3 linked regions of the Xenopus tropicalis genome follow. The protein of the gene in region 3 interacts with the protein of the main gene of each other region in a pairwise test. Links are inferred from orthologs where the notes say so. Each region holds a gene or a part of one and is shown on either strand. Other genes may lie near its edges. The genes, in order: topors, pias3 and satb1.

Region 1 (4,257 bases), on a different chromosome or scaffold from region 3:
AAGAGAACAGTCAACTCTCTTTTCAACCATGGTACTAGCCGATGAAGACAAGCAGGGTTACGCCGGAAGAACTCAGCAGAAATATCTCTATAACGTCCGCCATCCTGAATGTTTCTCACACGTATTCCAGACCGGTACAAAGCTCTTCTGAAGTTAATGAGTTCTTGCTCTTGAATTTGCCTCATAGAACGACCCTCTGCACTGGCTTGTCGTCTGGAGGCTAGCCTTCTTATCATCTGGTGGATTTCTTCACCTCTTTGATGTAAATTCTGATTTGAAAACCCTTCAAATAAAATTCCATTGTCAGGAGGTGAAAATGTCCTTTGAGTGCTTGAAGACCTTAATGTCCGAATGGCTACATGATTGTCTCTACTCATAGTTGTGCGATAACGAAATCTATGTCCATCAGGACTGGCAAATGAACCATTCATTGTGGGCCTCAAGACATATTCTTTAAAATCATCCTCTGCTTTGACACTATGGAAAATGGAGTAAAAGGGCTGTTTGCATAGAGGGCATTCAGCTTTGTTTTTTGCCCATTCTTGAATGCAACGGAAACAAAATCTGTGCAGACATCGATCAAGATGTGACACATTATCAAACCTGTCCAAACATATTGGACACTTTGAGTCTGGGGAAGCATCTGTTGCAGTACCATGGTTTTGTAGTTTGCTTGTGCCAGCCTGGGGTGAAAAGCTGCCATCTAGTGAATAATTGTTAGAGGATGATGCCATCATCTAAAAAAGAAGAAAAACACATATTAAATTTTACAGTACTAGTCTTATTTGGTAAACTTATACATTATATGCAAAAGCTAAATAAATGTGATAATGCATCCCTACTCTTCGTGACGCTAAATGATATTATTATACGGTATCTCTTTGCACTGTATCTTAAGGGGTAGTTCAACTTAAAATTAACTTTTAGCATGATAACCTAAATTTTTTTTTATGAATTGTGGTTCGTGAAATATTTCCATAATTTATCCTGTAACTTTAAGACATAGAAATTTCAACAATTTGCAACTAGTCTTCATTTTTTTTTTTGTTAACTGTGGTTTTTCGGTTATTCCATTTTTTGTTCAGCAGCTCTCCAGTTTGGAATTTTAGCACCTATCTAGTTGCTAGGGTCTAAATGACCCTACAACAAGGCAGTAATATTATTGAGACACAGAGATGAATAGGAGAGGCACGAATAGGAAGATACGTAATAAAAAACACCAATAAGTTGTAGCCTCACAAAATGCTTTTTGGCTGCGGGGGACAGTGACCCACTTTTGAAAGCTAGAAAGAGTCAGAAGAAAAAAGGCAAAACATTTAAAAGCTATACAAAATGAAAAATGAAGACGAATTGAAAAGTTACTAAGAACTGGCCATTCTACAGGTATTGTACCTCTTATCTGGAAACCCCTTATCCTGAAAGTTCCGAATTACAGAAAGGCCTTCTGCCATAGGTTTCATTTTAATCAAATCATTAACATTTTTAAAAAATGATTTCCTTTTTCTCTGTAATAATAAAACAGTACCTTGTACTTGATCCCAACTAAGATATAATTAATCCTTTTTGGAGCAATCCTACTGGGTTTAATTACTGTTTTAATAATTTTATTAGCAGACTTAAGGTAGGGGATCTGAATTATGAAAGGACCCCTTATCCAGAAAACCCCAGGCCCAAAGCACTCTGGATAATGGGTCCCATACCTGCATAACATACTAAAAGGTAACACTGTAGGTGAGAATTTGTTGGAGACATAATATACAGACAGGTAAAAAAGGAACAGACGTACAGATGAATTCTAATTCAGCAAAAAAATGGGCTTTCAATGGTTTAGCCTGCATTCGGTTGTAGTAGGGATCTATGAATGTATAGACACATTAGGATCAATAAGACTATTTTAACCAGCCACTAAAGTAATGGAAACCATGGAGTTTCAGGTTTAAAATAAATATGCTGTGGCTGTACGCTGGGGTGTTCTATAACATTAAAAATGAATGTAAAGGTGAATAACCTACTGTGACCTACAGCACTTATATTTGCCTATTTGTGTCTGTTAGTTACCCTCCCATATAGATTGTAAGCTCTACGGGGCAGGGACCTCCATCCTCTTGTGTCCTCGACTCTTAACTTATTGCAGCTGTATTTATCTGTATTTATTATTATACTTTGTATTTATCTATTATCTTATTAACCTCCTGTTTGTATTAATGTATTCTACTGTACAGCGCTGCGTACATAATAAGCACTTTAGAAATAAAGATATATATACATACATACATACAACCTTATTAAGTTTTCCCACTGGTGTTATGAACCTACAGGGGTACCCAGAAAGTACTTTCTCCTGCACGTCCCTCTGCAGAGATGAAAAGCCCAGCCTACATAGGAGCCAAACATATACAAACCCAACTGAATCTCTGGTGTCAGCAAGCAATTGTGTGTTAGCGAGACAGCCCTAGATAAGCAAGGGGACAGCTGCCATATAAATACAGAAGCAGAAGTATACAGTGTGGTGGCGGTGTTGGAAAGAACACTATTATTACTATTACACCAAGGGTCCCGGTAAAATATTAATACAACTACTGGAAGGTAAAGAAAAACCGAGCCACCGATGAAACCTATAAGGCCGATTATGACAGCGGGTATAGTTCGGGGACGCAGTCACTCCAGTTTATACACAAACATATCTTACCGTGTCATTCGCTTCTTGCCTCGCTCCCGGCCTCCGCCGCTTGGTTCTCTTCTCCCTCATGGCGTGACCGTAAGCCGGGTCTCAAACCCGCGATATAGTCCCCGGACTTCCAGGCAATGCTTTCATTGATACCATTCGTGTTACACAATTCTACCCTCTCACCCCGCCCGGTACACTGTAAAGTCAGAGAAGGGAGGCATTCTGGGACAGGGAAAGTTCACTCTATATTCTACATAGCTAGCGCCCCCTAGCAGCCAGGAGGTCTGCCTGAAACGGATGTTGTCGAGCTTACGCTTAGCTCGTACAGGATGTGGTGGTGTTGCTATAGTAACGTAGAGGCGGAGCAAGGAATCATTGCTTGAATGATAGTTTACTGCGATAGAACGACCTCCAGTAACCATGATTTTAATAAGCAAGAGAGCAGTAGAATGGATTTATTCTCTGGTAAGGAAATCTGTATAATATATGATTGAATGAGTTACATGGCTTACGTCACGTAAAGGTATCATGTGTATTTTATGGTAAGGTTACCAGATTGTGTGAACGTCTGTGATACTTACTTGGTAAGTTTCACTATTTAAAGTCAATTAGTACAGCCCGGCAGCTTGTTTCTTATACTTGATGATCTGTTATCTATATATGACATACATCTCTCACACTAAGGACTAAGTTTTACATGAGGTAGTTATGTGCATGCCTATTTCCCAGTAGCACCCAGTCATCAAGCAAATTGCAGCCTCTCTCTTTGCTAAATATTATTATTATTCAATCAGCTCCAACATGCACTAGTGGGACTTGCCCCACTCCAAGACTGAAATAATAATCAGTTTATCTGTGCCCAACACAACTGCCCAACCATTTAGCTGTATATATTGGTTGCTTTTTTTTTTGTAAAATACAGTTTTTAACACCATACTCTATCAGCATATGCTTAGGTGTTTAGATGTTAGCACACAAGAAATTATATATATATATATATATATATATATATATATATAAGTATATGTAATTTCATCCCAGTATTTTGATAGTTACATCGTGTTGAAAAAAGACCAGAGTCCATCAAGTTCAACTCTTCCAAGTAAACCCAGCACACACAACCTATACTTACCATAACACATACATAAACTATATATACAAACATTAATACTAACTGTAGATATTAGTATCACAATAGCCTTGGGTACTATGCTTGTTCAAGAACTCATCCAGGCCCCTCTTAAAGGCATTAACAGAATCTGCCATTACCACATCACTAGGAAGGGCATTCCACAACCTCACTGCCCTCAGTGAAAAACCATCTACGCTGCTTCAAATGGAATGGATTTCTTCTGGTTATTATTTATCATAAATGTATTGCAAACAACATGGCTACCAGCACAAACAGTAGCCTTCCAAAATTCCAATGTGTACAAAGCTAGCAACTTATTTATAGATTGGATCACAAGAGAGGTAAAGGCATAACCTGTCAGAGGCTGGCCCATTAAATCATACATCGGAGAAGTGCAGATAGTGACCAGCAATCATTTTTTTTTCTTAATTTCCAAGTTTAATAGTGAGGTAAATCA
Region 2 (3,656 bases), on a different chromosome or scaffold from region 3:
ACACGGGGCACGTCCACGTCGGCTTCTTCTCGTTCATCTGCAGGTAGAGCGCCGCGTCGAAGCACTGCAAGTGGGTGCAGGTGATGGCTCTGCAGGGCACCGTCAGGCGCATCTTTCCCAGCTGCGAGAGAAATCAGCAGCCACAAAGGGTTAATCCAGTCTGAGTGCAAGCGGGTCGGTAAAGCATTACCCATTAAATGGTTACTTTGCCTTTAATATGAAGGGAAAATAAAGCTGCCAAATGGATGCTAATCCCTCTGTTTTACAGTACAAATCCCAGAATCCTCAGCCAGACAGTGCTGGGGGCGGAGTCAGTGAATGTAAGCTTAAACAGGGAGCCCATTAGCACTCACCGGGCACATGAGGGAAACGCGCAGGCTCGTGGTGGCGATCTCACTGTCGGGATCTGCCGTCAGCTTTTCCTTTACTGTTATATGAAAACAAACGCGGTTAAGCACAGCGCCCCCTGGGGAGGTAACCTGTAACTGCAACTCAGGGGGGAGGGAGGAATGTAGCACCTCATAACAGAACCAGAAATATACGGGGAGGGATCTGGGATCTGATACCTCAGGATAGTACCATAAACACATGGAAAGGGGGGGGGATCTGGTACCTCAGGATAGTACCATAAACACATGAGGAGGGTTAGGATCTGGTTCCTCAGGATAGTACCATAAACACATGGGGAGAGGAGGAGTACCTCAGGATAGTACCATAAACACATGGGGAGAGGAGGAGTACCTCAGGATAGTACCATAAACACATGGGGAGAGGAGGAGTACCTCAGGATAGTACCATAAACACATGGGGAGAGGAGGAGTACCTCAGGATAGTACCATAAACACATGGGGAGAGGAGGAGTACCTCAGGATAGTACCATAAACACATGGGGAGAGGAGGAGAACCTCAGGATAGTACCATAAACACATGGGGAGAGGAGGAGAACCTCAGGATAGTACCATAAACACATGGGGAGGGTTAGGATCTGGTTCCTCAGGATAGTACCATAAACACATGGGGAGAGGAGGAGAACCTCAGGATAGTACCATAAACACATGGAAAGGGGGGGGGATCTGGTACCTCAGGATAGTACCATAAACACATGAGGAGGGTTAGGATCTGGTTCCTCAGGATAGTACCATAAACACATGGGGAGAGGAGGAGTACCTCAGGATAGTACCATAACACATGGGGAGAGGAGGAGTACCTCAGGATAGTACCATAAACACATGGGGAGAGGAGGAGTACCTCAGGATAGTACCATAAACACATGGGGAGAGGAGGAGTACCTCAGGATAGTACCATAAACACATGGGGAGAGGAGGAGTACCTCAGGATAGTACCATAAACACATGGGGAGAGGAGGAGTACCTCAGGATAGTACCATAAACACATGGGGAGAGGAGGAGAACCTCAGGATAGTACCATAAACACATGGGGAGAGGAGGAGAACCTCAGGATAGTACCATAAACACATGGGGAGGGTTAGGATCTGGTTCCTCAGGATAGTACCATAAACACATGGGGAGAGGAGGAGAACCTCAGGATAGTACCATAAACACATGGGGAGAGGAGGAGAACCTCAGGATAGTACCATAAACACATGGGGAGAGGAGGAGAACCTCAGGATAGTACCATAAACACATGGGGAGAGGAGGAGTACCTCAGGATAGTACCATAAACACATGGGGAGAGGAGGAGAACCTCAGGATAGTACCATAAACACATGGGGAGAGGAGGAGAACCTCAGGATAGTACCATAAACACATGGGGAGGGTTAGGATCTGGTTCCTCAGGATAGTACCATAAACACATGGGGAGAGGAGGAGAACCTCAGGATAGTACCATAAACACATGGGGAGAGGAGGAGAACCTCAGGATAGTACCATAAACACATGGGGAGAGGAGGAGTACCTCAGGATAGTACCATAAACACATGGGGAGAGGAGGAGAACCTCAGGATAGTACCATAAACACATGGGGAGAGGAGGAGAACCTCAGGATAGTACCATAAACACATGGGGAGGGTTAGGATCTGGTTCCTCAGGATAGTACCATAAACACATGGGGAGAGGAGGAGAACCTCAGGATAGTACCATAAACACATGGGGAGAGGAGGAGAACCTCAGGATAGTACCATAAACACATGGGGAGAGGAGGAGTACCTCAGGATAGTACCATAAACACATGGGGAGAGGAGGAGAACCTCAGGATAGTACCATAAACACATGGGGAGAGGAGGAGAACCTCAGGATAGTACCATAAACACATGGGGAGAGGAGGAGTACCTCAGGATAGTACCATAAACACATGGGGAGAGGAGGAGAACCTCAGGATAGTACCATAAACACATGGGGAGAGGAGGAGAACCTCAGTCCCTAAATACTTACTCAAGGCTCTGGAATGGTCTGGGTTACGGATGCCCTTTGCTCGGAGTTTTTGCAATAAGGTGACGGATGTGAGCTGTTTAACCAGGTACACGGAGAGAGAGTAATTCTGCAGAGGGGTAAGAAGCACATTGGGGTAAGAGTGTGACTATGGGGCGACCCATATCTAACAGGGGATAAGCCCAGCATACACGGCTCACTGTCACTGGAGAAACACTGCGTATTTGTATAACACAGCCGGCCCACCAGAGTGACACAACATCATGTGACTAAGGGTTCATGATGGGTTAATGCAATTAAGTGAGTGGCAGTAATATCCTCCTCCTGCCTGAGCTCTATTTGCTGCTTGTTGGCTGTGCCCTTCCCCTCCAATCAGACAAGGGAAGACATATAAACACCCAGAAAGAATAGCGCCCTCTACTGGCAACAGTAGCCACGCAGCTGCACACAAACTACACAGTGCTATGGCACACACACAGTTAATTCCAGTGCCACAGAGGGGGCCGCACAGGAGTGAGCCATGGACATATCAATAACATTAAGGCTCAGTATCTGCAGCTCTTACCCTGCCAAACTCGGACGACCAGTTCACCACAATAGTGTTGGGCACCGTTGATGTCAGTCGGATGAGCGGCGTAATGTTGATTGGTCTGTTCGGTCGTTTGGGCTCGGCACCATTCTTTGTGGGGGGTAAATACCCCTGGAGACAAGAAAAACAGAATAAACTGTATCAATAGTTTTACGGTATCTCTCTGTACAGGCTATGAGCAAACATAGGGGGCTGTTCCTGCTGAATTGTGCTTAGTACATGGGAATCCCTATGTGCCATAGTTTTATGGTATCTCTCTGTACAGGCTATGGGCAAACTTAGGGGGCTGTTCCTGCTGAATTGTGCTTAGTACAGGGGAATCCCTATGTGCCATAGTTTTATGGTATCTCTCTGTACAGGCTATGAGCAAACATAGGGGGCTGTTCCTGCTGAATTGTGCTTAGTACATGGGAATCCCTATGTGCCATAGTTTTATGGTATCTCTCTGTACAGGCTATGAGCAAACGTAGGGGGCTGTTCCTGCTGAATTGTGCTTAGTACAGGGGAATCCCTATGTGCCATAGTTTTATGGTATCTCTCTGTATAGGCTATGAGCAAACTCAGGGGGCTGTTCCTGCTGAATTGTGCTTAGTACAGGGGAATCCCTATGTACCATAGTTTTATGGTATCTCTCTGTACAGGCTATGGGCAAACTTAGGGGGCTGTTCCTGCTGAATTGT
Region 3 (3,248 bases):
TACTACAGTGTATCAAATGGGGTGAAAAGCTTATACTGCAAAGTATCTTATATATCTGCAAAGTATATAAATTCTATGCTCAGAATAGAAGCTGCACTCATAACATGGGATACTGTACTGTAACAAATATGAATTAGCTTAGCATAACTAAACTCATTTAGTTGGGCTGTATAAAAAGTGCTCAATCTAAACTTAAACATATAAATATAAATGTATTTTTGATTTACAGAAACATAGCTGATTCCACAGATTAAAGGACACAGTGATAACTCCATAGAGCTGTTTCCCAAGATCCCTTAATACTGACATTGTAATGCACTCACTTTGTTCCATTGTAAACTGATAGATTCTGGGACTGGAAGTCTCTCTGCTTACCATAGTGGGTGGTGCACAGACTCTCTAGAAAGCAGAGCGACTTTAGGCCCCAGAATTCAGCAAGATAAGGGTGAGGTTTGCATTACAGTCAGAGAGGGGTGAGAAACTGGAAAACACACAGACACAAGCTTTTATGGTTTCCTATAATCTGTGGAATTGGGTATGTCTGTAAAAATAAAATACATTTATATTTATTATATCTTATAATTTATATCTGGAAGTTCAAATAATGTTTAAGAATAAAACCATGTAATATAAGAACATAACCATTTCAAACTTCTGTTTTACCTACCTGAATCTGTTCTGCAGAAACATGGATCACATGAGATGGCCTTTCACTGTGCTGATGAACCGCATTGCTCTCTTGCTCATAAATCACATCTCTTTCTGTTTGGGGAAGACTTAGGAACCTTCGAATCATTGAAAGGTTCTCCCACAGAGTCCTGTTTTCCGGTGAAGGGTCTTCTTTCCATCGTAATAGTTCACACAGCCAGCCCTAAAAATAAAAAAAATAAAAAAGGAATGTTACTATGACTGGTAATCATATGCCAACATATATTTATCAGTACTGCTGTTCAGCAGTGACCCAGATATTTGAACCATCTACGCATTTGAATTTTACATAAACAGCATTCTATATAGTAACAGACATTAAAGGAAAATATATGTTACATCGGATTGGGTTACCCTCCATATAGTTCCCCAGCAGGAGTTTTCTGTTCAAGCCCCCTTGGAGGTCCAACCTTTGTTGAAAGAACATCCTCAGCTAGCACATAACAAAGTTACATATTTTTAGTGTATCAGCATTTTAACAACTATAAGTCTCACACCGGCTAAAATATATCTAACTCTATGTTTCTCAACACACACACACACTGGCGTTCTCATTTCTTCTCCATGAATGGTATATACAGGTATCGGTTCCCTTATCCAGAAACCCATTATCCAGAAAGTTCCAAATTACAGAAAGGCCATCTCTCATAGACTCCATTTTAATCAAATAATTCACATTTTTAAAAATGGTTTCCTTTTTCTCTGTAATAATAAAACAGTCCCTTGTACTTAATCCCAACTAAGATATAATTAATCCTTATTGGAGCCATTGGGTCAAATTACTGTTAAAATAATTGTTTTAGTAAACAAAGTAGGCGATCCAAATTACGCAAAGATCTATTATCCAGAAAACCCCAGGTCCTGAGCATTCTGAATAATGGGTCCCATTCCTGTACTTTACAGAGAACATTTTATTATTCGAATGCACCCCTTCCCAGCCCCCCCAGTAGTTGTCCTGTGTATTTTGTAATCATAGAAGGTCCCACATAAACATTACAAAGCATACAAACCCTTTATAGATAGCTTACTGGTTCAAGCTCAGCATCAGAGCCGGGCTGGCCCACTGGGACCAGGAAAAATCCTGGTGGCCCAATCCTCTTCGGCCCTGACATGTATATGTTAAGATTCATGAACATTAGAAATGGCCATACCTGACCATCTTTCCATTTTTCCCCTGATTGGCAGCCAAGTAAGCAAGTAGTGGAGTTGGAGTGGGGCAGACAGGGGGTGGCGGTGCCCAAGTGGTGGGCACTGGGTACCCCAATCTGACCCAGCATCTCAACACTGCATGGCAGCAATGTTTACTACTGTGTACATACTGTATCTATCATACACACTGTTGACTTGAGAGTCTTTTTAACATTAATGCCAAGTAACTGCATGTCAATCACTTGGATTTGGCCAAGCGGTTTGAGAACTGCCAGATTTCCCTTATTTCAATGATAGAAACAAATATAGAGTCTGCTCTGTCAGAGAACCAATTTTAAGACTAATTTTTTAATGGGCGTATTAGGAAAAATCTAGAGAATTCAGCTAATCCTCCATTTAAAAGATGAAAAGGTGACAGTCCAAATGAAACAATGTACTTTGATACTTGTTGATACGTGTAACAAATGGCAGATGGTGAAGGTGCAATGTCTACATTATTTTTAGACAACAAAAATTGCTATAAGAAGGCACGAAAGCCAAGTAAATTATTTGAACTTCAGGATGTTGCTGATTTTGAACTGTCAGAGTTTTATTTGACACCTTCTGTTCTAAATGCTGTTGCTATTCAAAATTCTGCCTTTAGTCCATGCCAGTAACCTTGCCCTCCCTTTAGTTTAATTGGTGGAATGAGATGCATAGAAACTGAAAATGCCATGCAGATGAATGCTGGGCTGTGTTCAAACCTGCTGTATACAACACAAATCCTGTAAAGTTATGTATTGTAAAGGGAAATTTATTGAGAAATAAAGGTCTTAAATCCATCTGCCACACAAGAATTATTATTATGCACTGCGTTAGAAACAAGTGCCATCTGCAAATGTCTTGCAACAGTAAGCAAGGAAATGCTTAACAATTCAATTCTCTTATTTAATATATAGAAGGCAAAAGATACTCAAAGATAAAAATCACAAATGCCCACAAATGCGGAATAAAAATTCAGGTTTGGCCTGTGAAAATAAAAGGCTTGAATGTTTAAAAAAAATAAATAAAATATATATATATATATATATATATACTAAAGAATACAGTATAAACAATAGTATACAAACATTTCCCATCATACATAAAATAATTGTGTAACTGGGAAACACGCATTATATCAAATGCTGGCCCTGTCACGCAGGTTCTGGTTATCCAGAATGGTCAGGACCTCGGGGTTTCTGGATAAGGGATCTTTCTGTAATTTAGACCTCCTTACCATAAGCCTACTAAAAAAAAATTATTTAAAAGTTAAATTAACCCAATAGGATCCCAATTATATCTTAGTTTGGATTAAGTACAAGGTATTGTTTTATTATGACAAAGAAATTGTTCTTCAATTTTTTGATTAA

The links.
Region 1: the proteins of satb1 (region 3) and topors interact in a two-hybrid assay, tested with the Homo sapiens proteins (2 studies listed by BioGRID and IntAct). The link is inferred for Xenopus tropicalis from reciprocal best matches to the Homo sapiens genes SATB1 and TOPORS.
Region 2: the proteins of satb1 (region 3) and pias3 interact in a two-hybrid assay, tested with the Homo sapiens proteins (2 studies listed by BioGRID and IntAct). The link is inferred for Xenopus tropicalis from reciprocal best matches to the Homo sapiens genes SATB1 and PIAS3.

Annotation. Positions count from the first base shown.
Region 1 is NC_030677.2:115,119,533-115,123,789, forward strand, and holds the start of topors (E3 ubiquitin-protein ligase Topors), read right to left. Parts: upstream 2,884-4,257; 5' UTR 2,750-2,883; coding exon 2,690-2,749; intron 738-2,689; coding exon 1-737. Other genes in the region: smim27 (small integral membrane protein 27), read left to right, coding at 3,089-3,133. UniProt on the Homo sapiens protein: Functions as an E3 ubiquitin-protein ligase and as an E3 SUMO1-protein ligase. Probable tumor suppressor involved in cell growth, cell proliferation and apoptosis that regulates p53/TP53 stability through ubiquitin-dependent degradation.
Region 2 is NC_030684.2:141,801,217-141,804,872, forward strand, and holds part of pias3 (E3 SUMO-protein ligase PIAS3), read right to left. Parts: intron 3,088-3,656; coding exon 2,953-3,087; intron 2,497-2,952; coding exon 2,391-2,496; intron 428-2,390; coding exon 354-427; intron 122-353; coding exon 1-121. UniProt on the Homo sapiens protein: Functions as an E3-type small ubiquitin-like modifier (SUMO) ligase, stabilizing the interaction between UBE2I and the substrate, and as a SUMO-tethering factor.
Region 3 is NC_030682.2:45,021,789-45,025,036, forward strand, and holds part of satb1 (DNA-binding protein SATB1), read right to left. Parts: intron 872-3,248; coding exon 668-871; intron 1-667. UniProt on the Homo sapiens protein: Crucial silencing factor contributing to the initiation of X inactivation mediated by Xist RNA that occurs during embryogenesis and in lymphoma.